2 linked regions of the Coturnix japonica genome follow. The protein of the gene in region 2 interacts with the protein of the main gene of each other region in a pairwise test. Links are inferred from orthologs where the notes say so. Each region holds a gene or a part of one and is shown on either strand. Other genes may lie near its edges. The genes, in order: DUSP1 and MAPK14.

Region 1 (15,323 bases), on a different chromosome or scaffold from region 2:
GACACAGACAGAGTTTGCAACTGCTGCTGTCACAGCCGACATGCGTGTAGAACTGCTGACTTCTTGCTCTGACAGCAAGCAAGAAGAAAACATCCTCTAATGAAACATTTAAACCAGCACTCACCCAATAAAAACCGCAATCCACCAGTTCATGCCACTTGTTTATAGGCAGACCCCACAGCCTGGGCAATGGAAGGGAAGATGGGCACTCGAAACCAGTAAGAAGCAGAAATGTTCTCACCTTGTTGGTGGACATCTTATACATATAGGCTGTTTTCAGTCCTGTGTGCATACGCAATCACATAAAATAAATGGCTGACACAGTTCTAAAACATTCATCATGCAGAAGCCCCTGAAAAAAAGCCACCTACAATGATCAAGATTTCGTTGCAGAAAGCAATAAAGAAACTTCTGCTTGGTCTGCAAGTTAATCAGTTAGTTAATGAACATCTGCAGTGTATATCCTCCCTGAATTAGAGCAACCTGCCACAAGAACCACATGGTGCTTGACTCCACGGCAGGCTAATGAACCCAGAACAAGATTTACAAGAACGAGATACTGATGCAGAAACAGATTTATCAGAGGTGATCCTTCAACAAGAAGACGCTGAGAAGAAATCCCCTTTTTCCAGTATATCAAAGACCCCAAATTGTTATTACCACATTTGTTGGTGGAAGAAAAGAAGCTCAATTCAAACAAACTGAATTAATATCAGAAGTTAGAACTCTAAATCACACTGTAGTTTATTTTCTTTTTGTACAAGTGGGACTTGGTTTTGGCTCTAAGAAAGACACACACACACAACTTCTCAAGTATCCCTATTTGTAGACAAGTGGTTACTGAGTTAGACAGTGACTACATCATATCAGAGCCCTCAGGGACTTTATTTTTAAGTATGCCCTACGGTTTGGGAACCAAAAGGTACTGAAATGAGGGGGATTGGTGTCACACACAACCAGTTTTTGAGAAATGAAGCATTTTCTGTGGCACTTGGGATAGTCCCTGCATGGATTTTGGAACAAACCAGCTGTTGAAGTGGCCGGTCCCACAGACCTCAGTCATCCACCCAGAGCACACAGCAAGCCCTGAGTCAGCCAGGGAAATGCAATGGGGATGTTAACATCCATGCTCCATCCCCATCTCCACACAGTGTACACGAGCATCCCCTCTTTTGGCTCTGCTGAATGCCCTCAGCTCTTCCAACTCCAGCATTGCACAGAGGGCAGGGCTGCCCCCAGCAGGGTGATAGCAGTGGAAGGGGAGCTGGAAGTCACCTGCAGGTTGTGCCGGGTGTCTCATCGCACCCACTCATCTGCCTCCCAGCAGCACCAGGGAGGGGAAGCCCAGAGCGACTCATTTCTGCCTCGCACAGGAAACACGCAAACGTGGGACCTTGAGCACGCTGTGCAGGAAACCCCCGGCCCGGCAGCATCCTGGGCTTGGCCTCATCCAATGGACTGTGCCATGTCCTGGCTGTGCCGTGGGTGCTCATAGAGCTGGGGGCACACACCGTCCCACAGACGGGATCCTCAGCCCCACAGTAGCTGGAAACCCTGGGAACCACAATCCCAGCATGGGGAATAGCTCTCAGAATAGGAATTATTTACTCACTCCAGTGGCAGAGTAACCGTGCCCCCTCCTCCTGGGTACCAGGGCTGTCCCACAGGTATTGCCTTCAGCACTGCATGGCCTCAGCCTGAGCAAAAACAGGACAGAGAGCTGAACCAGATCCCCTGGTGCTCCCTGGCCAGGCTGACAGCCTTACAGCAATGCCACATAACTCAGCAGAGCACCAGGCCCTACCTCTCTTTCCCTCCTTTAAGACCTTGGTCCCACTTACCCCCAGTGGGTGCTAACTGTGCCCACCTGTTCTTGGCTGTGCTCTGCACAAAGCAAAGAGCACGTAGAGGGGAGGTCACACGTGTCTGCACGCAGCTCAGAGCTCAGATCGTTTGTTCTTTCAGCATCAGTGAGTTTGAGCCTGGGCTTTAACTGTTTCCCTGACCTCCCTTGAGCCTTGGATTGGAGTGGATTTGGGGAAGCCAGGATTGCACTGAGATGCAATTTCCAATTGACTCGCAGTGTCCTTTCTACTGCCCTGGAGCCAGATGGTGAAAAAGAAAAACAGGTGCTAAGCAGGTGAACTAGATTTGCCTGTGGAGATCAGGATGTAATGTTCTTCTTCAACCTAAATGCATAACATAGCCTTGTGGCCCTGCTGTTCTGACTGTAGGGTGACTAATGCAGGATAGTCCCTAAGCTTCAGCTCACCCAGCGTCTTTCACAGTGCTGATTACAACAGAAAGGCAAAAGCCCTGAGACAAGGGGATTACCCCAGCACTCTAATCTGGAGCTCTGTCTGTTTGTCATGAGATAACCGGGCACTCTGCATCCCCTACTCCTGCTTTTTACTGGGGGTGTTACGTGCTGTGTCCCTACAGGGGTCCTGTGCTACCCCTGGGTCATTGGGACCATCCATGGGTCTGTGCTGGTGGGATATGGTGTATGGGACGGCTGTGTGGGGCTGTCCTTGCTGCACTGACACTGAGGTTCTGTCTGTGCCTGCTGGCTGCTGCTTGCCTTCAGGGACAACCACCAGCTCTGGCCTGGGAGGAACAAAGCCCAGAGCCAGTTCCTGCAACTACAGAGTGTGCTTTTCTATCACTTTGTGACAAATTGGTTTGTCAGCAGCAGGAAGTGATGTTAGCACCATCCCCAATGAAGGGAAACTCCTCGTGGTTTCCATGGGGACATAAGCAACTGTATAATGACAGCTTTACATAAGCTGAAACTCTACACGCTCTTGTTGTGTGCTCAGTTCCTGGGGGGTCTTGGGATGGAGAGAAGAGCAGGAGCTCAGCTGAGTACTACCGGCATGCAGAGAGACAGGGAAATGGAAATTCCAAGCTGTAAAGACCACACAAGGTGAATAAATAAGGGAAAGAAAATGGAAAAGATCCCTCCAGCATATTCACAGGGAGTTCAGTTTAGCCACATCCATCCATCTATCTCCCCCAGTGCTATGGCACCGGTGCAGAGCTGCCACTCTCCTTCTTTTGCCTGCTGTTCCCCCCTTATCCTTCACCTGTGCCAGCCAGGAACAGTTTGGGCTCCAGCCATGGTCCCATCCACAAACAGTCTGCAGGAACTGGGGGCATCACGGTGCTGGGGGGGCAGCAGGAGGTCACTGCACAGCCCAGGAATGTTGCACTGAGGTGGGGGGCTGCACCTCCAGCTGGTACAGGGCTGTGCTTTGTGCTGCCACAGCTCTGCCCCCATCAGGTGCCTGCTTAGGTTAGAAAAGCTGATCTGCTGCCAGGTAATGAGTTTTATTGTTCCAAGAAACACATAAACAAGCTCCCCCAGCTGACGGGGAGCGGATTTCTGTTTGAACTGTGATTAACAGGCAGGACTTTTTATCAGTTGCGCTGCCAGGGCTGCCAAGGTTGTATTTTTCCACTGAACAAACCCTGCTTTGCTTTGAAGGTGAAAGCTTGTTCCACAGGTGCAGAAAGGCTCATGTTTTCAGATACAGCCTTGTGCATCTTACTGGGAGCACAGACCCATGGAGCAGCTCACCTGGCAGGTGAGGGGGAAGGAAAGAGCTTTGCAGGGTGGGAGAGACCTGGGAGGACAACATACTTTGAGGTTCTTCACACTGCAAAGATAACTTTCTTTTCTTCAGCTCCTGGTGCCTGTGGAGCATTCCTTGCTCCCCTTTGCCTGCTCTGGGTGCTCTATCCTCAGTGTCAGGCTGGAGCTTGCTGGCTGCCAGCGGCTGCTGACGACAGAGCTGCGCATGTGGCTGCGCTTTCAACACAGCAGTGCCTCACAGCAGCCCAGCCTTCAAGGGCACCTTCTCCTCTAAGAAGGCTCGTGGATTTAGCACTGTCAGTGCTCCAGGTAACGTGCAGGGTTTCAGCAGGAGCTGCGCTGAGTGCATCCTCAGTTATACGATCAGACTGCAGCTGCCTTGTGCTTAACAACCCCTACCTATAAGCTTGGACTTTGGATTGTAAATACTAAGCCGCCTTGAATTGACACAACGAATCATAACCCTCTGTTGTTTGCCTCAGCAAATCCACTTTTGATGGGGCAAGTGTAGCACCAACTCTTGAATTTCAGACATGGGAAGACTGATGCTCCCCCGGGCAGAGACAGAGCACCCAGCATCCCAGAGCTCTCCTACATGCCAACAGCTGGCACTGCCATCACCACACGCTAAGAAAGCAAGCCTCCAGCTGCCCAGCTTTCTCTGGTAAGACATGTCACAGCAGCACTGCTCTCCCCAACACGTCATACAACAACAGTATCACACCCAACCCATAGCAGCTGCCCTGCACTACTGGCTGGCACCCCACAGCTGCTGCCAGCAGCGCTCACCCAGCTTTGGTTATACTGGATACAACTCCTCACGTTGCCTCGACTTAAGCACTGGGTGAAAGTCAGCCCAGTGGGGAAGCTGTAGCAAAAGAGTTTATTCCAGTCTGGGTACAAAATTAGGTGACTGCAGGTTACCTGATCTGTTGTTATGCCCTGGTTTATTTACAGATGGTACAGTAAGCCAAATAACTCACTGTAGGGATCAGAAGGAGTTTGGGTTGCAAAAAGGAATTAAGAGGCAAGACAGAAAAAGAAAACACCCTGGCACAACCCTCATACATGCTGGAGATCAGTTGGCAACAGGCTCATTTTTAGACTTAACCTTCAAAGAAGCAATAAGGAAGCTTCTTCCTTCCCAGGAGAGGACTCCTTTAAACCCACTGCAGTCCATGCTCAGCTGGTTCCAACTCTTACAGCTCTGCAGCCACCACCACAGCCAAAGCCACCCCACAGCTGAGATCTGGCCCCAGCTGTCTGCCATGGCATGTAATTATACAAGGACAAAGGGCTCAGGCTAGAGAACAGCAGAACTTTCTAGTCAAGTGTGAGTATTTTAAAGCTCATTTTTTCCTATCTAGTTAAGACCCCACTTAATCACATTGCCTGAGGTCAAACTCCATCAGAAACTCAGACTTCTTTCCTTCGGAAGCTTCTAAAGTTAAGCTCAGGGACAGTAAAACACACAAGGTTCTGAAGTATATCCAGCTTTCACTAGAAATATCATAATTTATTCTGTTTGTATAAAAAGTTATTATAATCAAGTAACAAAACTATGTCTTCCTAAGAAGAAATATATTATTTCACATCATAAATAAATCAAACATACAACCCTTGGCAACTTAAGAAGCACTCGCCCAGTGCTTTCATGTCAGTGCTTGGAAACAAGAAGAGCCGACAGATATATACACACAGGATTACAGTACCAAAAAAAATACTGAGGTATTTGGTTTCTCTAGAAATGCAACTTCAGGTTCATGAAGGCAAAACAATGAACTAACAAAAATAAATAAATAGGACTGTCGTGAAAGGGGACAACATCAGTGTTGCTTAAAGTGTCCAGGAATGGGAATACTGGTGAGCAGGCTACTGAACATGCAGCAGGCTTAGGACAAACAGAAGACAAGGGGAACAGCTCAGGAAAACGCAGCATCCTCTGATCTCTGCGTAGGCATCCCAATATTGGCTTCAGGAGCCAGCAACACACAGAACACTGGTTGAGCTCCTCGTGTGTACAACAGCGTTCTAGGACAAGTGGATGGTTCCCCACAGGACAAGTGGCTGATGATACTGTCCCCATAGTTATTGCACTTCTGAGACAAGAATTGTGAGTTCTGGTCACGCTTCTGCCTGCCTTTCAGCAGCTTGGGGAGGTGGTGATGGGGCTCTGAAGGTAGCTTAAAGCACTGGATGAGGTGTGAACAGGGATGGAGACTGGGAAGTTGAAGACTGTGGTGGTCGATGCTCCTCTGTCCAATACTGACATAGCAGGGCTCCCAGCTTCTGCTGAGCAGTTGGGGGCAAGAACCTGCGACTCAAACTGCAGCAGCTGCCCCATGAAGCTGAAGTTTGGGGAGATGATGCTCCTTCTCTGCTTCACAAACTCAAAGGCTTCATCCAGCTTGACTCTGTTGGTCCTCATGAGATAAGCGAGGCAGATGGTCGCCGACCGGGAAATGCCAGCCTGGCAGTGCACAAATACCCTTCCTCCATCATTTTTAACAGAATCTGAAAGAATTAAAACGCCCAGTTAACAAACAAGTCCCACTGCCTCTGGAGGTGGGAAAGCAAAGGCTGCTGCTTTCCATCTCTTTGTTTCATCCCCTCCTTAGGAGCCCAATAGGTGAGCCCTGTGCTTTGGAGACAAAGAGCCTTTGTCCTGAGGGAAGCTGCAGTCTAGCTATTCTCATTCTGGGCTCCAATTCCAATTATACTAATAGCTCCTCCGGGTCACTTTAGCAGTCTTGCAAGATTACTTTAATACTGATCCACTTAAATTCACTAGCACTTTTCTAGAGGATACCATTTCTCTTGGCTCGAGGTTTCTAATGGTTTGGCAAAGCTGAGATTATCCCTCTCTCAGCCCAGAGAAAGTGATGGGCGCATCCCCTAAGAACACCTAAAACAAAGGTTCCCCGATCCCAAACGCAGGCAGCGCTGGGGAGCACAATGCCCTAAAAGCCACTCCCGAAGGGACGTCATCCGAGACAAAAGGATCGCAGGGAAAGCTCATTTACCTATGAAATCAATCGCCTCGTTAAACCAGGAGCTTATGTCGGCTTTGTGGTTGTCTTCCACAGGGATGCACTTGTACTGGTAGTGCCCCTCGAAGTGGTTGGGGCAGTTGGCCGACACGTTGATTAGCGCCGTGATGCCCAGCGCGTCCAGCATGTCCTTACGGGAGGCGTGATACGCGCTGCCCAGGTACAGAAACGGCAGGATCTCCACCGGCCCGCCCTGAAACAAAAGGGGCAGATGCCCGGTTAACATCGCTCGGCGGATTTACGATTCCCGTCCTTTCTCCCACGAGCGGCGGGGCAGCCCCAGCCCGGATCCCGCACTCACCTGGTCGTACAATGGGGTTCCGCAGGAGCTGCACCCCGAGTCGGCGCTGCCGGGCGCGCTGCTGGCGCTCAGGGGCAGACTGAGCCCGGTAGGGGCGGCGGGTTTGGTGCACAGCTCGGAGCAGGCGGCCGAGAACGCTTCGTATCCTCCTGCGGGGCACAGGGGAGAGAGGCGCGGGGTGAGCGCGGCGTGGAGCGGGGCGGGCAGAGCCCTCAGCCGGCGATACGGCCAACCCCATCCCGCAGCGGCTTTTGGGGCCGCGCACTCACCCTTAAGGAAGCAGATGCGGGCACCGCGGGTCTCCCTGCACAGCGTGCCGAGGGCCAGCAGCAGCGTGCTGTCGCGCTTGGGCAGCTCCAGGTCGGCGCTGCGCTCGTCCAGCAGCACCACGGTGTGAACCTGCCCCTGGCGCAGCCGGGTGCGGAGCTCCTCGTTGGGTACAACGTGCTCCAGGGCCAGCACGCCCTTAGCGCGGCGACGGACGATGGTGCTGAGCCGCACGTTGCAGGAGCCGCGGATGTGAGCGGCGTTGAACGAGAAGAACGAGCGGCAGTCGAGGACGAGGCACTGAGCGGCGCGCTCCTGCAGCAGCCCCCGCAGCGCCTCGCACTCCAGCGCACACACACGTAGGTTCACCATGGTCCCGTGCTCGGTTCCGTCCGGTTCGGATGGCGGGGAAACAAAGCGCTGGAGCTCGCGGAACAGCGGGATCAGACGCGGCTGGACGCGACTCAGCGCGGCCCCGTGCGAACCCACCCGCCTTATATCGTGGCGCGCCGCGCCGCCGCCGTTTTCTCAATGGGGCCGGGTCACGTGATCCTGGGAGCAGACGTCACCTTGGAGGCGCGCCAAACAGGGCGCGCCCCGGCACCGCCGGTATGACGTCATCGGCGCGGGAGCGCGCCGGCGCGAACTGAGAGGCGCGGGGGCGCGCTGGTTTGTGTGTGTGTAAGAGTATAGACATACACACATAGATAGGGTTACATGTTACACGTGCCTGAACATACACACATATAAATACCCAAAGCTATCACATTTCTCTACATACAGGCACACACCATGGATATATATACACATACAAGTGCATAAACACACTTATACACACATATAAATACCCAAAGCTATCACATTTCTCTACATACAGGCACACACCGTGGATATATACACACACACACACACCATGGATATATATACACACACACACACCATGGATATATACATATCCGAGAACCAAACATCCACACCATGGCTATATAAATACGAAACACACACACACACACCATGGATATATATACACACACACACACGTATGTGAGTGTGTTCACATGTCCAACAGCAGCACCGTGAGTGGATGCAGGCGTGGGAGCAGTCCTACAGGTTCTCCTGCAGCACATAGAGATAAGCGCACACAGACAGGGATTGGTGTTTGTGCATAGGCATATATGCGTGTACGGACACATCTACACATCAATATATGCACATGTGTGCGTATATTTGCATGTATATGTATAATGTAAACGTATCTGAGAGCTGTTCTCATGTTTCATATGTAAGGATAATCTCGCAGTAGACCTGGGGAGGTTCATTTTCCGCACAGCAGGTTCCCCAGCAGTCAGGGCAGCCCAGTACCCGGCAGTGAAGCCATTGGAGCTCTGTTTTTCCCCCCTTGGTGTTGTCTCAGCACTTCCCAAAAGTCTGCCTTTCCCCGTGGGCGCTCAGCTTCCACCGCAGCACTCAGCTGTTTCTTGCTTTCCGCTTCCCGTCAGCGCCGCATTCACTTCCCCTGCCTCCCCAGCACTTCTCCCCTGCCCCACACGCCAGCACCATCCCTGGCTTCAGCCCTTCTCCCCCAGTCCCTTCCCAGCAATCCCTCTTCGCCTGCTCCACCTGCGTTGCTCCTTCCTCGCACCATTCAGAATCTCTAGCTTTCAGCAGCTTTCTCTCATCACTTCCTTTCAGACTTCCTTTCTTCACCCCAGATCCCCCAGCCATCCTCTCCCACCCCCCTGACAGTTCCCCATCCCCCAGCCCTGCAGCCTGTCGGTTCTCAGCCTTCTCGAATTTTCCAGTTGCTTCTCCACCAGTTTCCACCAATCTTCATCCATCCTGACCTAAAACCAGCCCGGCACCTCATCAGGTTCAGTGCTGCAGGGCTTTCCAGGCTCCCCAAGGGTGTCAGGAGGAGGAGACACAGGGAAGGATATGGGTGAATGAGCACCAGCTCTGAGCTCCTGCTTACTGCAGAGATGTCCCTGCTCTGCTGAGCAACATCGGGGTGTTACTTGCCAGAGCTGCAGTCTCAAAGCAAATGTGTTTTTTCAACGCATTCTTTAAAAATAAACACTGGATTGTGCTTTTCATTCTATTTATTTATTGTTGTTAAAAGAACAGCAGGTTGGAAACAGACTGTGGGAGAAACATCCATATGCTTTCAGTGCTGGGAAATGACTTTGCCTGACCACACAATCACTGCTTGGTTTCTGGGAGGTGGTGGCCCATTGCTGGGTGTGAGTGGTGGGACCTGAGCAGCCCGATGGGTGATACACATCCCTCCACACTATGGGGACATGGGAGGACCTGTGTGTGCCCCTGCGATGTGCTCCAAGGCAAACCTTCCCAAAGATGTGATATCTCTGTGACAGTACATGGCCAGATCACACTGATCTCTAAGATCCATCCCAGATCCAAGGAACAGAACAGTAGGAGTGTGGGCTGAAGAGGGCATTTGATACCTTAATGGTGCTGTGCCTTCTTGGTGCAAACCAGCCATGGCTCACAGATGCAGGCATCCCTGTGCTGCTGACCATGCTTTCTCTAATAGTCCAAAGCTTCTCAGCATCCCATACAGAAAAGAACACTAAAAGAATGTGATTTTTTTTCCCCCGTTTGGCAACTTTAACACTCCCATATTTAAAGCAGCTGCCATATCTGACACCTGCACAGCAAAGCTCGGTGCTATCAGTGTCAGCCACCTTCTGGTTGTGCTGCCAACCAACCTCGTCCTTACACCATACGTACTGTGGGACAGACACCCCAGGCCAGGTACCCAGGCTGCTGTTTGTCAGCACAGGAGGAGTTCATCTGTGGCCTCTGCAAAGGGGAATCTGACTCCATGAGAGTGCACAGCAGTGGCCATCACTCTTGCATGGACTTATTAAATCATGAGTCTTTTGAGTCTGCTCTTGTTTACACCCAGCACGAATCAGGAAGAAAATTCATCACGTGTGGCAGTGTGTACTCAATCACTTATAACCCTGGACTAGCTATTTCCTTGCTTTACTCTATTTTTGTTTTCTTTTCTTAAATAAACCTGCCAGAAGAATGAAGGAAAGGAAAATACAAACCAGAACCAAAGAAGCTTTCACGAGCTCAGCCAGACCTGAAGGACTTTCTTAAGGGTTTGATTTCCTGTCTTAACAAAAGCCAGGAAGCACAAAATTAACCCCTTCCTCCAAAAGAAATCCATGTTTGCTCCCAGGCCACAGTGCTATTGTGAGGGTAATAATAGCAGCAGCAGCATGAGGCTGAGCCAGGGCTGGGATGTAGGCAATGCTTTTTCTCAGCAAGTGGGACTCTCAATTGGTGTTATCCTGAGCCTCCACTATTCCCCGGGCTTCAGCAGTTCCCATAGAATCATTAAGGTCGGAAAAGACCTCAAAGATCATGAGGTACAAACACCAACCCACCCCCACTGTGCCCACTGACCACGTCCATCAGTGCCACACCTCCACAGCTCTTGAACACCTTCAGGGATGGTGACTGCACCACCTCCCTGGGCAGCTGTGCTAGTGCTGCATCGCTCCTTCAGAGAAGCTGAAGAAGTTCCCATGTTGCTCTGCCAAAATATTTACATGTCTGTAATGACACGAGAGGCCCATAGTGTGACCCTCTACTTGTGGGATTCTGCTCATCTTGGGAAGCCCCATCAGTGATTCTGAGTGCTGTCATTGTCTCAGCAGGACCTGGACCTCTCTGGCTTTGCTCCTGGACTGTGAATCTCCCGATATTTGGCTGCGAGGGGAAGGAGAGGGCTGCCCACAGCTTCTGCACCGACACAGTAGTACCAATTTGTTAGCAGCTTGGTGACAAGCACAGATAAGCCTTAACAAGGAACTGGCCCATTGCATAAACCCAGCAAAACTGGCTGGTCAGGCCTTTAACCGCTCACCCATGGCCAAAATCAGCCCCGAGCCATTCCAGAAAACACAGCATGACGGCACCGTTGGAGCTGACCGGAGCCTGCGCCTCAGTGCCCGTGGTGTGAGTTCTGCCTCAGTGGAGATGCAGAGCATCGGCCTCAGCCCTTGAGACAGAGCAGAAAAATGCATGTGGGAACACTTGGAAAGCGTGCGGGATGCATTGCTTCTGCATGTGTAACATTTTCTCCGAATTCAGTTTCACAACCCAGCATTTCCTTTTGTAAATATTTGGACAGATTTCACATGGGCTCAAACTCAGAAGAAACAGAAGGGAAAAGAAAAAGAAGACGGGAAAGATGGGACAGAGAAAGAACAGAAAGAGAGAAAGAGGAGGCAAAGAGAAGGATCAGCGATGGAAGGTCACAGCAAGCTGTGCATGAGCAGCATAGAATTACCGATGAGTCACACTACAATGAAAACAGTATTTTTAATGCATTTAAATCCCAAAATAGAACCTTTTCTTTTTGCCGGAGTTTGTTGTGCTTAAAGCGCCTTGGGTTCTGCGTGCTGAAGGATGGTGTGCTGTCATGGAGGACAAGTCCTGGATATAGATGTATGACTGAGGAATGAGAGAACACGTGGCACCTCCAGGTCTGAGAGCCAAGGGATGGAGTGCTCTGCTATGGACCAACCATCTCTGCTCTGTAGGACACCAGGCAGGAGCTCTGCTTTCTCCTCTCCCAGTGACTCACCGGAGCGCTCAGGGCGAGTTGCTGCTTAGTGCTGAGCCTTAACATGATTACAGGCATTAGGCAGCCAGGCTGGGATACCACGGGTTTGATATTCCAAATCATTAAATACCTGCTTCCAAAGGAAAATCGCTGGGAATTAGTGGTGCTGATACAGTCCTCAGCACCGGGCTCAGCTTAGTAGGGCAAGTGGTTTTTAAGCAATTTAATCTTACACTTAATTGCCTCTATTAATCTGCTATGAATCACACACCAGGCCTAAGAGTATTTATTCAATAAAATCACCGTATTTGTTAGGCTCCCATATTTCGAGATGAAAGGTATAAGGTATATAATAAAATACACTTAAGGGAAATTATTCTTCCTCCTGTCAGAGCGGGTGTTTTCTCACCAGCATTGTCTGGTGGCCAGCACTGCAAGGCAGGGCTTCCGTGGGAGGAGGGTGAATTTGAATAGAAAACAAGTGACGTACCCCGCTCTGAGAGCAGGGAGAGGCGTGCTCTGCTACCCAGAGCTGAGCCGCGGGGTTATTGCTTGCCATGTGATGTCAGTGTTTTGTGGGCGCAGTGACTGTGTATGAGCTTCCAATTCCCAGAATCATCAGCTCTCATAAAGATTGCGATAAGGGCTGCTGAGAGGCTCTGCGATTGGCAGGTGGTTCTGCTGCTCTTATCTATGGGATCTTTATGGGGAGATGGAGGCTTTGCAAGCGTGCGTGGCACACAGGCAGGTTGGGTGGATAGAGGCGGCTTGGAAGAGCTTGGGACACTCAGGGCTAAGGCTGTAGGTTTAGCTGTAGGCTCTCACAGTGTGCTCTCAGCACCAATTTTGCCTGACTAATGGCACTGAAAGGGGTCATTAGCTGAGAATCATAGAATAGAGTTGGAAGGGACCCTTAAAGGCCATCTAGTCCAACTCTCTGCAATAAACAAGGACACCAACAGCTCCATCAGGTACTCAGAGCCCCTCCAGTCTGACCTTGAGTCTCTGCAGGGACAGGGCACCCATCACCTCTGGGTAATCTGTGCTACTGCCTCACCTCCCTTGTCATAAAGAACAGTCATTCTTATAGCTAATCTAAATCCCCTTTCTTTAAGTTTGAAACCATTTCCCCTTGTCCTATCACAACAGACCCTGCTGAACACTCTGCCCTCTTCTTTCTTATGTCCCCCCTTTAGGTAATGAAAAGCTGCTCTCTGGTCTGGCTGGAGCCTTCTCTCCCCCAGCCTGTCCTGGTAGGGGATGTGCTCCATCCCTTGGATCATTACTGTGGCCCTCCTCTGGACAACAGGTCTGCATCTCTCCTGTACTGAAGACCCCACACCCGGACGCAGGGCTCCAGGTGAGGCTTCAAAAGGGCCACAGTTCTCGTGTTCTCATACAATGGAGTAACGCTGCACGGAGCCTTAAGAGTACACTATGTAAGAAGATATAAAAAATACAGAACCGTACAAAGGAAACCAGGCATGAAGAAGTGCCACTGTACATCACATTAACACGCTCCATCTGAGCCTCTCAGTATTCTATTTTCTGTGCTTTCTTAGAATGAGCTTCTAAACTGTTTATAGCCATTCTTGGTGTTTAATATGTAACTGCTAAAAAATATCCCCGTATCAGTAAATATAGAACTGCTTATTCATTTTCTGCTATGCAGTTTGTTAGAATATTTGCAATATGACACGATTCTCTCATGTGATAGAGTGAGGTGATGCTTGCGTGTAATAGCGGTTAGTGAAAACACACTATTAGTCATAGCACAGAATAACACTTGACTGTTTTGAATGTGAAAACCTTTAGGCTGTGGAAAAAAGACAAATTCTGACCCATGTGTTGTTTTCAGAAGTACATGAGAACCTATAGGGCAGAGTGAGTCATGGAGCAGTGTCCCAAGTGCCACTCCAGCTGGGCCAGGCTGCGATGCCCGGGAGGGACTCACACAGACACACTTCTTAGGGAGAGATACAAGGGTGAAAAGAAACAAAATCAGAAAGCCCCCACTGGGTTTCAGAGCTGTGCTGAGATGTGCGTTATTGAGGTGCATTGAGTGGAAAGCAGGGATGAAAATTCAGGTGTTTTCCAGAGCCCTACCATAAAGATTTCCTCGTGTTCTTATGCACTCCTGCTGTGAGCAGTCAGCCCTCTCCTGCAGCCAGATGAACCATGATCAGCTCTCGGCCTGAGACACAGCTCTAACGGGCTTGCTGGGAAACCTTAGGGCTGAGTAACTAAATAGAATAAGGAGCTTCTTTAAAGCAAGCTATGCTGGAGTTACCTCTGACACAATCCCTCGCTTGAATACACTGATTGAAAGCACATGAGATGTGGGTCAGGGGCTGAACTCACAGAGTGGGCTCTGATGGATTTCATGATTCAAAGTCCTCTCCTCTTTCTCCTCTCTGTTGGATCAGTTCACACTCTGGGTCCCCCAGTGGAGTGGGTGACATCGATCCTCCACACTCCTTTTTGTTAAAAAAGGGGAACAAGAAGTGAAATTAGCTGCAAGAATCAGGCGCATTCTCAGCTGGTAAATACAAGAGGAGCATGAATCATCATATAGAAATGACGAGAAGGGATGGAAAAGGTAGTGGTTTGGGAGAAGAAAGTTGTGCTCTACACGGCTGATTCAGCTCGCCGGACCAAAAATGAATCATCAGAATATTTAAATCATATTACCAGTAAGAACACACACAAACCCCCCCATGCTCTGGAAGCTTTGTTATGGAAGAAAGTTGGTAACGGGTAGGAAAAGAACAGAAGGGCATCTCCATACCTGCACTGTGCTCGGGCTGGTGTGTGCAGCAGCCAGGCAGAAGCATCATCACAGCACCATGGGCTGGGGTACATTGTGGGACAGGCCTGAGTGGGAGGTTTAACACTGGAAACAGGGCTCTTCTGGTCTACTCATGTCTGAGCCCAAGGTACAGTGTTAATGAAGCTGCGACACAGGAGATTTCAGGCAGGCTATGGCAGAGATAACAGATAGATTAACTGTGGTTTAAATCCTGTTGTTTTCCTCTCACCCCTATGGTACAGCCGGGCTCAGCTGGGATAGAAGAGCCCTGGTGTGGGGATGTTCCATTCCATAGTGAAGGCAGCACCTCCCGCACATAGCACAGCAGAGGCAGCAAAGCAGACCACAGGATTCTTTTACATAACGAGTTGCAAAGGTTTTGCAGGAAGCGCCTGGTTGCTATAAAGTACATCTGTGTATTCCATTACAGTTTGTCATGTTAAAACTCTCGATACCAAAATAAATGTATCTGTTTGATAGCTGGAACCCTCAGAGGGATCACAATTAGGTAGAAATCCATCTCCAAATATTTTTAGTGTGTTTTCTTGTCCGAATCTTCTAAGTTCCTTTCCACAACCCCAGTTTAGCCTTCAAGATTTAACACTAAGGAACTACAGCTTTCAATCTCTGCTAGCAAGCAAGAATCATAACAAAGATTAGCCAAAATTCTGACAAGCTATTTTTAACATAAACTCTTA
Region 2 (15,454 bases):
CTCCCCTTTTTTATTCCTGTTCATCTACAGGAATCTAGTGAACAACTGCTCCAACCCTTTCTGACATGATGACACAAAGCAAGAAAGAAAGCCTTCCATCACGATTCACTGTCTACTGCAAGCTATGTACTTACTATCTGAAAAACCTGTGCAATCAGCCTGGAATGCAATCACACCAGGTAGCCCAGCTTCTCATATAATCTCCTTCTACTTACATTTTCATGTTTCATGTGCTTCAGTAGCCGTAGCTCTCGGTAGGTCCTTTTGGCATGGATGATAGACTGAAATGGTCGGGACAGCTTCTTTACAGCCACTCGCAACCCAGTTTTTGTGTCAAAGGCAGAACTACAACAAAGAGTAATCAAATAGTCAAAATGAATCACTTATAAACACCCTCAAATCCATTTAGCAACTACAAATAGAGGCTGCGCAGGCACTGAGTCACACAGCCGATTCCATTTCTCCCTCTCCACCACCAATAACATCCAGGCTTCCTGGCCTGCAACCTGGCTGCAAATTCCCACACACAGATATAAATGCTGGGTTTTACTGATAGCGTTTCTAAGATGAATGTTGTTCACCTACTTAGGGGAAAATAGTATCTTCAAAAAGTAATTTTGCAGAAAGAAAAGTTAAAAATGATTATGATTCTTCTGCCTAGAACACAGTTACCATTTCAAATGTAAACAAGGCAATGAAACTCTGGAGAGAGGAAGAATACTTGTAAATGCTACTCGTATTCTTAAACCTATTTGCAAAAGTACACTTCATTACAACATTATCTGCTGTGCTCGAGATGCCATCTTTCATGGCTTTAAGCCCATACAAAAATCCATGCCTGCTGCTAGGAACAGTCACTGATGATGGGCGTTCATCTCACCTGAAGGTGAAATCAAACCTCACAGGCATATCACACCCAATCCTGAGTGCTTGCTACAAAAAAACACAGATGCACAAGTGAAACTTCACTGCACATTACTAAACTTTTCAGAAACATTAAAATAGTAACCCTTATAACACATAAAACCTAATGCCAATGATGTGATAACTTGTTATGCCTCCACGTAATTGCTTTGTACTCCAACGTCTGACAAAATTCAGAAGTAAAGCCCAATACTTGTGAAACAATGAAAGCTTTAAGCACTAGAAGAAAGCTGACAATCCTGATTTGCTGCACAGAACCTTCCAGAGCTCAGGGCTGCGTATTTAGAGACCTAAGTAAAAGCAGGCACTTAGCTGGCAATCAAACTGCTCTTCTTGTCTTCAATGCTGTTATCTGAAACTAGCTCTGGTTTGTCAAAAAGGAAGGAGGAGCAGAAAGAGGATGTGAAATTGAGGTTATGTTGATCCAAGATCACAAACGTGGGGAAAGGGTAGAAGTGAGAAAGTTGGAGAAGAACAACATCTGTTGAGTCTCCTGCAGCCCGACACAGGGCAGGCTCCCAATGCACAGCGCCTTTGATCAGCAGGGAGGGACAAGGAAAGCTTACAAGGAAAGGAAATCTACAAGCACAAAATGCAAAGCAGTTCAGCTAGCAAGCCCAAAACCAATCACAAAAGCAGTTCTAGAACAAACTCACAATTGCACAGACAAAAAAAAAAAAAAAAAAAAAAGCTAACTGAAAAGAAATTAATATCAATTCACTTGCAGAAATACAACTTATCTCAAAGTTGCAGTTTCCAAGGAACTTGTTGTATTCTCATTACAAGAACTAAGGATAGAAAATGAAACACAAATTTGCTTCTACCAACAGCAACCCCTCCCTAAAATCCTGCAAGGGAATGGGAAAACCTCCACGTGGGACAGAAAAGGGCATCTCCTTCTGTGTAAGAGATACCTGTACACACCGCACAAGGAATTTTTGGGAAGAGATATGAAGATGGAGCTAGAAGGAAGATCACAGGAGCACCAAATTGCCATAGCTGAATTACTGGAGCTGCTCCATATCGTCTACAAGAATGCCCATTAGTAATCACCTCACCCAGCCTGCACATATGGAAAATACAATTACATGCTCATCTTCTAATCTTGCTTTCAAATGATCTACATTAAGTTTCCACAAATCAGTACAAATGAGTACTTCAGATACTACAGCTTGAGAATACAGAACACTGTTTTTTTTAGATAAAGTTCCACATACACTGCTTTGCAATATGCAGTTGTATCTAATTCACACCAACTGGATGACAATACTCAAGGTGTTTTCTGGGTTCAGCACAAAAGTAAGGTCAGCCACCTTCATTCAGTCCAGGCTGTTGTGAATTAGTCACGAATCTCAACCAGCTGCCAAGTGCCTCAGGTGCAAAAGGCAACGTGCTCCATCCTTTTTTCATCTCGCAAAGAAGGGATCTCCTGCTCATCCCCACAGCTACCACCTCTACAGCCAAATTTCCCTCCCAATTTCCACCTTATTCTTTTTAGAGAATATTTCAGAACCACCAGTTGTAATGCCAACTCTTGAGAGACCAAGGGAAATTTTGTTTCATCTGATTTTCCAAGGACATAAGGACTTGTTATGGGGATCATAACAAGTTACTGGTCTGCTGCAGAAGATTTCTAATCTGCAAGAAGAACTGCAGCCAGCAGAGCTGAAAACTATTCAGCCAGCACAGTGACACTGTACACAAGCTCAGGAGAGAAAATATCACATTGGTGCACATTCACAATCTAGAGTTACTCTTCAAGTCAAAAGAATTCTATGCTTGGTCATATTTGAGGCCTAAAACCCGCTTCCCTACAGATCCAGGCATGGTTTTAACAAGTACAGAACACAGAGCTATGCAACAGCTGTCAGCTGGGAAAGCACTTTACAAAACCCGAAGCTGCTTTTCATCACAGCTGCACCACGCTTTTAAAACAGCTGCATTACACCCATTGTACTTCAGCTACAAAAGACCAACTGGGAAAAAACTGCAAGATCCACAAATCCAAATCTCTTCTAAAACAAGATCAACATGAATCCAAAATCACATCTTCCATGTTTTATAACTCATTACACAGCACATGAACAGCCCCTAAATGACCTACAACTGCAACCCTGAGTTAACCTGAGCAAATCCAGAGAATAAGAGACAGAATAAGAATTAGAGAACCAGCGATTCAGTTTATATCTTAGATATAACATTTGCAATAGTCTGAGAACTGTAAGTACACGCAAAATTACTTAAGAATCCAAGGTACCAAGATGTTCGATAACCAGAATAATCATTTCAGCGTGAAGGTTATTTTGTTAAGCAGCATGCTGCTCACGGCTAGTGTCAGTGTAAAGATGTGCTCACAGAACCATTTCAGTGGTACCCCTGGAGTTCATTCATGCATCCCCATTACAGACAGAAAAGCACAGTTCTTCACACCTGTTAGTTTATCAGTAAAACCAGAGACTTCTGAGATGACTCTGCACATGTATTTCTGTAATTCACCCTCAACTTCAAATGATATGAAGTTATAAATCCCCCTCTGCTGTTTTAGATTCTCCTTCCATAAATTTTGCAATACAAAACTCCCTGTAGGAAACACAAGCTCACCCTCATTTCATTTCTTAACACACCAAGTTTCCAGCAGCCTTCCCTTCCAAGCTTTGCTTCCTGCTTTTCTATGCATGCCCGCTGCTGGCTGACCTTCCTTCCTTTCCCATGTTCTGACACCTGTGTGGCTGCTCCCTCCCACTCACAATGCGGCAATTCTTTTTGCACACCTGGCTGGAGAAGCTGGTACCCCTCCTGTGCACAGAGGCATTGCACATCTTAATAATTGATTACTAAGCCTAAGGACACACACTGGACAAAAACAGGTACACAGAGGAACTGCTGCCAAAAAGGTGATATTTAGGTTTATTTCAATGCCTCGTGGTTGATGGTTTAAGATGTCTGAAACCCATTGCATTCTTCTGTCAGCTTTTAAGCAGGGGAATCACCTCAGTAGCTTCATCACACCCAGGACATTCAGTCAGTGTTGGTACAACTATGGAGGGGAGGAGCAGATCCCTCAGTTTTCTAACAACTCTGTAGCCTGACAGCCTGCAAACAGGAGAAGCTGAAGGACCCTTATGCAAGATTACGTAAGACTTAGCAGTTTCCTCTCCAAAAGAAACAGCAGAGTCTGCAAAGCTAAAACGTTATTGTACAGAAATAACTGTTGGGGAAACAAATTAAAAAATAAAATAAAAATAAAAATCAATAAAATAAACTGCTTGGAGCACACCAAATTTGCCTTCACATTTTATAAGCTAATTGCAACAAGCATCAGAGCACCCATTTGCTTACAAAGGGTGAACTAATGCTGCCTGCAGACACCAGCAGCTGCCAACCCCCTGCTGAACCACAACTCACTGCTCACCCATCCCAGGCAGCCCAGCAGCTCCCACTGCAAGATGCTGCACCAACCCCTCTCTCACACACAGTATGCAGGACTGACATTTCAGTAACCCGCATGTTTTAGTGCAGACCTTGTTACTGATTTAGACAGAATTCTTGTAATGCAGAAGACTTAGATGAATACGCAAAACTCCGGCAAGAAGGCATTATCACTTCACACAACAGATGTCACTGCAATTGTTAACATGGCTTAGTGATGAATGATCTGAGAGTCCATATAGACATTTCTCGGCATTTTAGCACCAAAGCCCTACTTTAATTTCCACATATTTTCAGTTAAAAAAAAACAAAACAAAAAAACTGAAAAATACCTGAGCTGGCTGTTTGAACATCCTCACCGTGCACCAGAAGACACAAGAACACTTACTCCAACACTAAGGACACGCTCTGGCTGCCTGCATAGAACAACATTCTCCATCCACTGACTGCAAAAACTTCAGTCAGGACTTTCTACCACGGTGCTCCAAGTTGAGATGGACATTTAAAGCAGACTGCAGCAGACACTGCACAGTCTAATTGATTCATTTGCAGGCTTAATTCTTTTGTTAATTTTTCCTCCACTTTCTAGAAAGTCCCCCTTTTTATATCTCTCATCTGGACACCTAAATAAAGTGTATCATTATGTTCTAATCTAACAGTGCTGTAGACATACAGGAGTGTATTTATGCACTCTGTTTAAGGCTGATTAAAGCCCTGCAGTTCGCTGTCCCAAAACAGAGGGCACTTCAAACTCCAAGTCTGAAACAAAGACAGGAACATCTTCCCAGAGCAGGAGAAGGAAGAGGGAAGAATCTCTCTAAAGGAAAAGAGTGGAACAAGCCATGCTAGGAATGCCCTCAATGCCACACATCACTGTCTGGAGCTTTACATTACGAAGTTAATTATACATGCACACTATTACTTGTCTGTCTGAGCAGTACTTCTTCAGAAAGATGTTTTTGGTAGGACACAAAGAAAACCCTGAAAAAAGCTATGCTAAGATGCACATGCCGTACATCTGAAATTGCTTCCAAAGCAGAGCTGATCCATCCAGGCCGAACACAGTTGCACAATCTTTGAAAGTTCGGAGGCAGCATTACAGGAAATTCATGATGCAAAGTCTTCAGTAATTGGTTGTGAAAACAAACATTGGAAGCATTAAGTACACAACAGACCATGGGTAGGTGGAGAACAGAAGAGGAACGGGCTGCATGCACTGCATAAGGCCGGCCTGAATACAGCAGATATGGAGTAAATCCACTTCCTATTGCACCGAGGGAGTTATGTAACCACAGCAGCTAAAGGGGCATTTATCAGCTGGGGCACTGAGCCCTTTCTTTCACCAGAACTAAACCCTTTAATTATTAAAAAACTGACTAAATCAGAAGATATACTGGCTACCCGTGGTACTGTAACTGGTTAGGCTCTGTCTTCTATGACATACAAGCATTTACATACTTGGGACACGGCAGTTTTAAGAAACGTGTTATTTCAGCAGAGGTTCCTGACAGCAGAACAGGAGAGAACTTGACTTCTTTAAAACTGCAGCACACACAAAGCAACTCCTTTTTCTGATAGAGGTCAGCATGCATTGCTCCTTAAAATATAAATGACAGTCATGGTATAAACTTGTACATTATGTTAACGAAAAAAATAGGCACGCCTGCTCCGAGACAGAAGCAGAACAGATGTACAGTTGTTACACACCCGTATGAGAACTCGGATCACACTGACAGAGCAAAAAACATCGTTTAGCAGCCTATGCTGCTATATAAACCTCTAAGCGACTGCTCAAGTCGGAACGTCAATCCAGACACAACCTCATCTTTACGATTAAGCGATGTCATCAGCCCCACTGATTTACATTTCACGATCCAATACATTTTTGCAGAGAAATCCCAAGCGGTGCACGCGATGCAACGAGGCAAGCATTAAAAACCGAGCACAGCTCCGAGCTCTCCTTATTCCCGCACGCTGACCCCAGGCTTTGCTCCTGCAGGCAGCGCACGCCGCGCTCACCGCACACAGCCGCTAAAATGGCTCTTGCAGCCCCTGCCAGGCGTCGGGGACGCAGCAGCTCCCTGCAGCCCCCGGCTCATAATCCATCCTCCGGGTCGAGAAGGAAACTGAGCCAGCAGAGCTCTGCGGAGCTCGGGGCCTTGCCAGCCCGCATCCTCTCCACCCCCACCTCCCAACTGCGAGAAGGCACCGCGAAATATGCCCAAATGAGATCACGCCGGGGGCTGGGACGCGATTATCTTCCCCTGCAAAAATGTCCCGGTGCCACCTGCCCTATGCTGCAATGCTCGGGGCTGCCGGCTGCGGCGGAGGGAGAACGGCGCGGAGCGGCGCCCGGGGCCGAGCGGTGCCCGGGGAAGAACCCGGCCCGGAGTCACCCCCAGCCGCCACTCACCAGACGGAGCCGTAGGCCCCGGACCCGACCGGGGAGAGGTTTTGGTAGCGCTCGGGCACCTCCCACACCGTCTTGTTGAGCTCCTGGCGGTAAAACTTGGGCCGCTCCTGAGACATCTCGGCTGCGGAGCCCACCCCGCCCGGCCCGGCGGGAGGGGGCGGCGGTGCCCGCGGCTGCGGCAGCACCTCCAGCTGCAGCAGCAGAGCTCCCTCCCTCCTTCCCTCCCTCCCTCCTTCCTTCCTTCCTCCTCCCCTCCCTTCTTCCTTCCTCCCTTCTCCCCGCCTCGCTCCTCCCACGCCGCCCCTTCACACCGCCCTCTCCTCACACCGACCGTTGGCCGCCGCCCCGCGCCCCCCCGCCTCACGTTGCCCGGGCCCAGCCCTCGCGCGGGGCGGTTGCTCCTTCCCCGGTCCCCTCCTCTCAGCCGCCGCCTCCCCCTCCCCGCACACACAGCTCTCCCTTTCTCTCTCCCTCCGCACGGCGAGGGGTGGGTTGCCCTGTCAGGTGAGGGAGGGATCGGCCGATAGGGAAGGCCGGGGGGAGGCACTCGGCCGCAGGTAGGACGGCAAAGACGAGGCCCCGGCCCCGTCCCGCCCCCAGCGGAGCAGCTCGGGCTGGGCCGACCCGGCCGCTCCGCCTCCCCGCTCCCCACTGCGGCCCTAGGGTTCAGTCCAGACGTTCTCGCGAGAGTTGAGGCGCCGTGGGCAGAGATGCCCCAATATGGAGGCAATGCGGAGCGGCGCGGAGGGGCTCTCGCGAGAACGGGCCGAGGCGAGAGGCGGGCTCGCTGCGTTCAAGTGTTCCACGAGTGCGGTGTGTGAGGGGGTTGTGCTCACGCAGGGAGATGTCACGGCGCCACAGTCCGTGTGCCGTTTTCGCGAGGCTTTGTCTTGTCACCTTGACGCTGTACTTTAAGCAAAATATGCACATTGATGAGAACGATGACCTAAGGCAGCAGGCCTGGGCTGAACTGCCACAGCCCTCAGTAAGGCCAAGCCCCGTTCCCTCTGGGGGTCTCACAGAGCTTGGGGAGCTGAGCTGGTACAGCTGGAACTCAAGTTTCTTTTTAACTTTTTTTGTTGTGTTACCTTCACTTGAAAAAAGGTGATTTTGCTCAAACAGCAGCTTGTACTGGGTGTGCAGAGCTCATGAACAAAACGTCTCTTAAACTCTGGAAGGCCTTTGTGTATCTCCTTTTTAAAAAGAGGAACAAACCATTCACTAGGAATCGAACGTGCCTGCGGGCTGCCTGCTGCTGTTAGAATGACTGGGCTGTGTGTGCTGGTGGCTGTGCCTGGAGGCTGCCAGGCTCCTCTATTAGAAGTGGTGTATCTCAGTGATGTGAAACGCCAGACTTGTACAAAGGGATCCCAACCATTCAGGAAACATATTTATTTATTTCCCTCCAGGTTTTGTTACTTATACTGCGTTTTGATGACTTTCTGCTCACTTACTGCCTTTTCATGCTTCTCATTTTCCTTTTTTTCCCTCTGTCAATAGCTAAAAACTGCCTTTCTGCATGGCATGGCCTTTTTCCTATGCTGTCTCTGTACTTTCAGTTGGTAACTCTGGATTTGAGTTTTCTTTCTACCTCAGCTGTCAGTATGAGAACTTTGGATTAGATCTGCTCTTTCACTGGACTTCTTACTCAATATTCACTTTGGGAACTTACATCTTACCTAATCTGAGCAGTAGTGACTGAATTCAGATCTTCCTGATGTTAAAATGCTAAGGAATGTGAAATAAAGGTTTGGGGCATTTAAAAACCTGAATGGTGTCAGATAGCAATTTTGTACTGCAAACTGGCATTGTATGGCCTCTAGTTTAGCTGTACGATTCAATCTAAGCCTTTTTTCTTCCAGCACTGGAAACAAGGAGAGTTCAAACTGTTTCTCAGCTGTGATAGGTTTATGGAGGGATGCTGTATTTTCTTCCTTTAACACAGACATGCTTTGGGGATCCCATGATGGAGGGGATCCAGTCTGATCTTTCGATCTTTCCTACAAGATAGAATCAAGGCAAATTTCAGAAGGATGCAGTGTTCTGGCAGCCAGTTGGCTTGATCCTAACAGCAGCAGATCTTCCAAGGATGTTAGTCTTCAGAGCCTTGTCCTTGCTGTAGCTGTTGGCTTCACAGGAGTTATGTTGGGATGGACAGATGTCATGTGCTTTTTATTGGTTTTGGTTTTAATAGGTATTTCAGACACCTTGTCTATTTCTTCCAGTCTCACTGCCAAGAATGAGAGGTTTAATTGTTGTCTCCAGTATTTGATATTCCTCATCAAAAAGAAAATATGGAACTGGAAAATGATACAGCTAGTACCAGGAAGCAACCAGCAGTTTACAGAGTCCAAAGAAGAGTGCAAACTGAAGGGCACTTACAGGAACTCTTGGAAAGAGACCTACTTTCTACCAATGGTGGAGAGCCACAAATCCCTGAAAAGAAGACACAGCTACGTTGCAGGTGAGTTATGTGCTAGGAGTTTGACAGGTGTAAAAAAAAAACTGAGGAGGCTCTTCAAGCCCAAATGTGGGAAGATGCTAATGTCTTCCTGCAGCTTGTAATTAACATGCTGAATTTTGTTGATTGATAACTGAAGCAGAACAGCCCATTGGAGAAATGGTGAAGTGTGCAAGAACAGCACTCCACTCCCCCCTAGTTTAGCAATCTGTAGGAGTGTTCACTTCAGGTCTATGATAGCGTGAGGGATATATACATTGTAAGGAGAAGCTGTTAATATTTGCAGTCCCCTCCAGTGCTTCCCTCAGCCCAGCTGTCGGACACAAGCTTTCACTTGCATTTTTTCTGAATTCTGCCTTTTGATAGTTTTGTTTCTCAAATTTCAAGAGCAGTTTTCTGTTCCTTCTCAGCTGGGGACGTGGAAAGTTGCATAATGGTATGACTAAGATTGGCTGAACTGCTTGTGGATTATTTTGGAGCTATGTTTCTGAATTCTTTGAAGAGAATGGGTGATGCAAATGTTACTGCCTATACAGTGTTAATGTTTCCACAGCCTGATTTTTCCATCTGCCAAAATTCCCAAAATTCTCTTTTGGGCATTATCCTCGGGACAGAAGCGTATCTTCTGCCAGAGGAGCCCTGCAGGCTCAGTAGAAGGCAGTCTTTGTTGACAACTTAGGAGAATTCCTGGTGTTCTTTCAGCAAGGCAAATATAATCAAAACTAGGAAGCCCTTTCATCAGCTTTCCTTTTAGTTTTATTTGACCATGAATGCTTTTGGTTTTCTGAAAGAATCTCTTTGGATGTGGAGTGGGCTGTCAGTGGTTATAGCTGTGTCTACACTACAGAGTCCTCTTAAGAAAGTAAAAAAAAAAATATCTCTGATTCATCATTTCTCTAAGCTTTGTTTCAGCATGTATTCTGAATGTATACTGAAACTCAAACTGTTATTTTGGGGCAGTGACATGCCTTGAGACTCGAGTCTAGCTATGGGTGAGGTTCCCAAGGCGTGGTGAACTAATCTAACAGCTTGCAGCTGCCAGATGGGACAGGACACAGGAGGAAAAGCAACTCAGGAGAGCCAGACCTCCCTCTTTTGTCTAACTAGTTCTTACACCAGCTCAGCAGTGAGTGTGACTGCAGCCTAAAATCATGGATCCTGTTTTACTGGCACTGTTGTAAAGGAATTTCCTGGTAATAAGGGAAGGCAAGTGGAGCTAGAGTTTGAGTTACTACTGTGCTTTATAGTTTTTCATTTCACCTTGAAGACTCATTGTTGATTAATTTCTGCAATTGTGAGATCCTTTGGACTGTGCAGTAGGTATTTTTCTTTCTAGTGCTAAAAGGAGATTGGAGTCAGAGGAACAAAATTACTTAACAGAAAGGCTTGAATTGTGCATAATGATGATATGTGATCTAGAATTAAGACTGCCACTCACAGATTCCCTGTGCAATAAAATAGGTCTTATGCAGAGGTCAAAGGGAGAATTCTGCTTTAAAAAAGGGAGAATTCTGCTTTAAAGTCATGGCTAATATTATTGGAATCTTTATCACTACACTTGCTGCTTAATCAGAAAATATGCCCTCCCTTAATTCCCATTTTAGACTTGTATCTTTCTTGTTTCCTCATACTCCTTTCTCTATTTCTTTTCCACTTCCCTATCTCATGTATTTTCTCTGTTCTCTATTTTGTATCCACTGGTCATCCTGGCACGTTCTGAAACCCAGTGTCAAACAGCGCATCCCTGGTGAGGGGCTCCCATACCCTAAAAGCCCCGAGCAGCACAGAGATCTCATCATTGAATTGAGGTCAAATTCCCTGACAGGATCCCCCCATCCTCCAAAACCACCCTGGAGCAGATCCTGCCTGTCTAGCAGCCAATGGGATGGACCTTTGGGGGGGTTTGATTGTCAATAAAATGATGGAAAGGGACTGGTCTCTGTAATGCTAATCGGGGCTCCTCAGCCACTGTTTAGGGTTGCCAGAAGAATCTGGCAGGTGCTGCACTGCGTATGTTTGGGTTGTAAGAAGATCACCACTATGGTCAGGGGATTAAAACAGGGAAAGGGGAGCACAGGGCTTTAGGGCCGCTCAGAGTTTACCTGCTGGAAATACTGATTCAAAGACATATAGGCAGAAAAATCATGTAGGTCAGGTCCTGCTTGCACTTCCATGTTAAGTGTAATACAGGAAACATTTTGCTTTTTTGGAGATGGAATAGGCTTGTTTTTATTTTATTTTTTACCCTCCAGATGTAGCACCTGTATGTTTTTCTTCTAGATTAGGATAGGAGGTATCAAAATACTGTCTCCCGATTTTCTGCAGTGTGTTAATGAGGTCAAGTAATTGATGCATTCAGTGCTCTGTGCTCTGCTGCTGACGGGGTATCATATGAATGGCACACAAAGTATTTGCTATTCATCTGAAAGGAATGCAAAGGCACAGGGCTGCCTGTATGGGACTCATGTTATGCACCAGCTGGATCTGCAGAAGGCAATGTGGGTTCAGAGTATATGGTGCTTGCAGAGATCTGAGAGTAGCAGTGTGGCTTCTATTCCTGCAGAGTATGAGGTCATGCAAAAGGGCTGCAGACGTGGTGGTCATGGAAGACTTTGCGTATAGCTCTTATCTGATTCTTTTCAGGTTCTCCTGGGAAAGTTTCAAAAAGATCATATACAAGAGGTTCCCTGTCCTGAATTGGCTTTTTTCCTATCAGTTCAGAGAATGGATCTTGAAGGACCTCCATGCAGGCCTAAATGTTGGGTTGGTTCAGGTTCCTCAAGGTAGGAGGAGAGAAAAGAAAAAACATTCCTGCTTCCTTTTGTACATCATCCTTTTCATAATGTGTGTGTTATCCTGTTCCTTCAGGTGTCATTGGATTATGCGGGAACTTGTGAGTTAAAGTTCCTTAAATCATTAACTTATTAATTTCCATACTTGCAAGAAAACATATTCTATAATCAAATGTTATATGGTGTAATTTTGAGGACAAGACACTGCCTTTTTTCATAAAGTTTCATAAAGTAATATAAGCATATAAATATAGACTAACAGCAGCGTTCTCCTGTGTTGCAAAAAAAAAATAGCGATCTTTAAAATGCACCTTGCAAAATCTGTCAGTTTTTTGCTTTCTAGGGCTGTTAGGAATTTGGCTGTCCGGGTTACCTCTGCCAGCAATCAATGGCTTCCTTTCTGCATTCTGCTGCTCAATGCTGTATGTTGTATTTGGAAGTTCACATCACATCTCAATTGGTAAGGTTTTGTGGGGGAAGATGTAACTGTGAGTGAGTCACCAAAGAGTTTATCAGACTCTTTGATAGACCCTGTTACTGTGAAATCCTGGAAGACTGGAGTGTGAGACAAAGAGCAAGCAGTGTCTGTTTGCATCCAAGGGTAGACAGGAGGTTGTTTTGATATGCATTGTTAATTCTGTTACTTTTAAGAAGCCTTTCTTACTTTATCACTTGTTTAGGAGAAGATAGGACCAGTTAACTGATCAGTAGAACTGTTAAAGGAATGGGGTTTTCTTGTTTGAAGTGAGCAGTATATAAGGTGTATGTTGAACACAAGAAAGGAGAACGATTCTAATGCTACAAGAAACTAAGAGATCTCTCTAACTCGACTGAGTGCCAACAAGGTTTATTCTGTATTGCTAAATGTTTCTACAGGAGTTAGAGATTGTGTTCAGTGCTGCTTCGAAAAGCATTTCAGGTGCAAGTGTTATTTAGGGGAGAATCCAGACTTCCAGATTCAAAATTCGTTGTTCCACCTCTGCCCCTGAAGGTACGGGCTGCCACAGCTCCTTTGTCACAGACAGCAGTGCAAAGTGGGCAGCTGGCACATCACAGAAGCATCTTCTGCATAAGGGGCCAGAGCAAGCTGCTTCTTACTTGCCCTCAGACTGTGACCATGAATCAAGATTTAGCTTCTGGTTTTCCCCAGGCGTCATGCAGTTCCTTGCCATGACTGAGCTGTTGATGGCTTTATGTTCTTAATTTGTTCAGAAACTAGATTATTATGTGAGAAGGCCCTTATCATCTTCATACAAGTGGATCTATGTAGCTCTGGCCTCTCAGATAACTTGGTAGTTCTTTCTCAGATAAACCTTATTTCATGGACTTTCTGGCAGTTCACTGCAGCCCATTCATTTCTGTGCTTTACATTAAAATCTTTTTTCTCTTTTGAGCCTCTGACCAAACAAAGACTGCTTGTAAAATTGTAGGAGTCTGAAATTTTCAGATGGAACTTTAGAAGCTTTTGATGCTTATTCAGAAACAGTAAAAATAGATTATATATCTAAATGAAAATAAATCGTCTCATACTGCAGGATTGATGGTAGGGCATAGAGACGGATGTGTAGTTTTAAGATAAATCCTTGTTGCAACACCTCATGTGCTTACATTCTTTCCACTCTGTTCTATTGCTTTCAGGCTCATTCAGCATCCTAAATCTGGTGGTGAAAAATATTCTCACGTCCCTTGCTCTCAACCAAACCTCCTTTAACAGTTCACTGGTCAATTTTTCAGACCCTACACTTTTGAAAGGTTACATGGAGACCTTGACACTCGCTGCATCAATAACATTTATGACTGGCATAATTCAGGTAAAAGATGAATCTGTGTTAAATCCTTACTTATGTATCCTTATGTGTATCTTTGTACAAATGTGAGAACATGCAAGCAGTCTCATTTCTTACAAGTTCTAAGCTCAGCAAATTTGAATACATATGTTGTACAAAATAGAATGTGAAGGTCTGCCTCTTCCTCCCATGATGTCTGAAAAACATGGTGTAGGTTAGATTGATGTGTTCATGATGAATATAGCAGTGCATAAAGTAAATTACTTTTGTCTTTTATACTAACCAATTCTCCAGTGTGTAGACTCTTAAGTAGTCCTGCGTAACTGCACACACTTGATGTGAAGTGCTCCTATTTTAGTTTGGCAGCATCCTATTTAATTGTGCATAATGAATATAGCTTGTTCAAATAACTATCCGTCAAGTGTGGCAGTGAAAAGTCATGCTCTTCAAATATGGAAACAAGAAAGGCAGGTTAGGCATAGACAATTACATCACACCTCACTTCTTATTTGTTCCATACAGTTGCTGCTAGGCTGCTTCTGCCTGAAGTCTGTAACAGCATACTTGCCAAAGGCTCTCATTGATGCTTACCTCTCTGCAGCAGCATTGCTTGTCATTGTATCACAGTTCACTTTTATCTTTGACGTTGTGCTTGACTTCCATAAGGGCTCTCGAGACATTTTCTGTGTGAGTAAATTCATTATTAGTTAAAATAAAATAAAAATAAATGCATACTTCTCGTGGGATAAACAAAAGAACAGTAACAAAAATTGAACATAATTTCAATGTCAGCTGCTAAGGGGTATTTCTGCAAGTCTCAGCTGTGGTTTACTTTGCCTCTCTGGTGCCTTGAATGACGAGCAGAGATTTTTGTGTGACATGCAAGAGGAAAAGGGAGTATTTTTAATTACTTTATGTAGCTCTGTCATTTTCAGCATGGCACAAAGGTTAGAGAAAGAGGTACATTTTTCCTCTATGGATCATTGTGGGTAAACTGTTGGGCACACGGTATCTTTGATGTATCTGACAAATATGCAGCAGACTCCTACATAAAGATAAGTTAAAAATAAGTCTTCCTAGTTTTCTTATGAAAAGATAGACAATTAGAGAGAAAGGTGCTATAGAGAAGAGTGATTGTGCTAGATCTGAGTTACTTGTGGCAGTGTTTCTCAACAGACCATTTAAAATACTGCTTTGCTCTTAGCATCTTTCTTCCCACTGAAGATACTGCCATAACAGTAAAGGATAAGTTCAACCGTCAGGGCAGCAGGTGTCAAGAATGTAAAAATACTTGCAGTATCTGCCTTTGATCCTCTCTATGATAATTCCTTTTCAGAATATATTCTATTTTTTCCTGGCTCTCCCAAAGTCTAATGCCACCAGCATACTGCTATTTTTGCTTAGCGTGGGCATACTAAATATCAGTAAAACTATCAGGATAACGTATCTACGAAGTCCTGTTGCATTTCCCATGGAACTTCTCTTGGTAAGTGTTCTCAATGCTATTGGTGATCATTGAACTAAGAAATTCAGGTTCAGGTGAACAAGAAATTCCTGACAGGTTCAGGAATTACCTGTCTGAGGTGGTGTTCTGTCTCTGAGTACTATAAGCGGCCTTTGTCACTCTGTTTTGAGGTGTCTTTCACCA

The links.
Region 1: the proteins of MAPK14 (region 2) and DUSP1 interact in binary tests that used the Homo sapiens proteins (3 or more experiments, as listed by UniProt). The link is inferred for Coturnix japonica from reciprocal best matches to the Homo sapiens genes MAPK14 and DUSP1.

Annotation. Positions count from the first base shown.
Region 1 is NC_029528.1:10,945,582-10,960,904, forward strand, and holds DUSP1 (dual specificity protein phosphatase 1), read right to left. Parts: upstream 7,727-15,323; 5' UTR 7,586-7,726; coding exon 7,216-7,585; intron 7,096-7,215; coding exon 6,947-7,095; intron 6,839-6,946; coding exon 6,619-6,838; intron 6,110-6,618; coding exon 5,739-6,109; 3' UTR 5,073-5,738; downstream 1-5,072. UniProt on the Homo sapiens protein: Dual specificity phosphatase that dephosphorylates MAP kinase MAPK1/ERK2 on both 'Thr-183' and 'Tyr-185', regulating its activity during the meiotic cell cycle.
Region 2 is NC_029541.1:513,342-528,795, reverse strand, and holds the start of MAPK14 (mitogen-activated protein kinase 14), read right to left. Parts: upstream 7,012-15,454; 5' UTR 6,883-7,011; coding exon 6,767-6,882; intron 346-6,766; coding exon 216-345; intron 1-215. Other genes in the region: SLC26A8 (testis anion transporter 1), read left to right, coding at 9,061-9,230, 11,871-12,010, 12,363-12,479, 13,658-13,830, 14,329-14,493, 15,143-15,292. UniProt on the Homo sapiens protein: Serine/threonine kinase which acts as an essential component of the MAP kinase signal transduction pathway.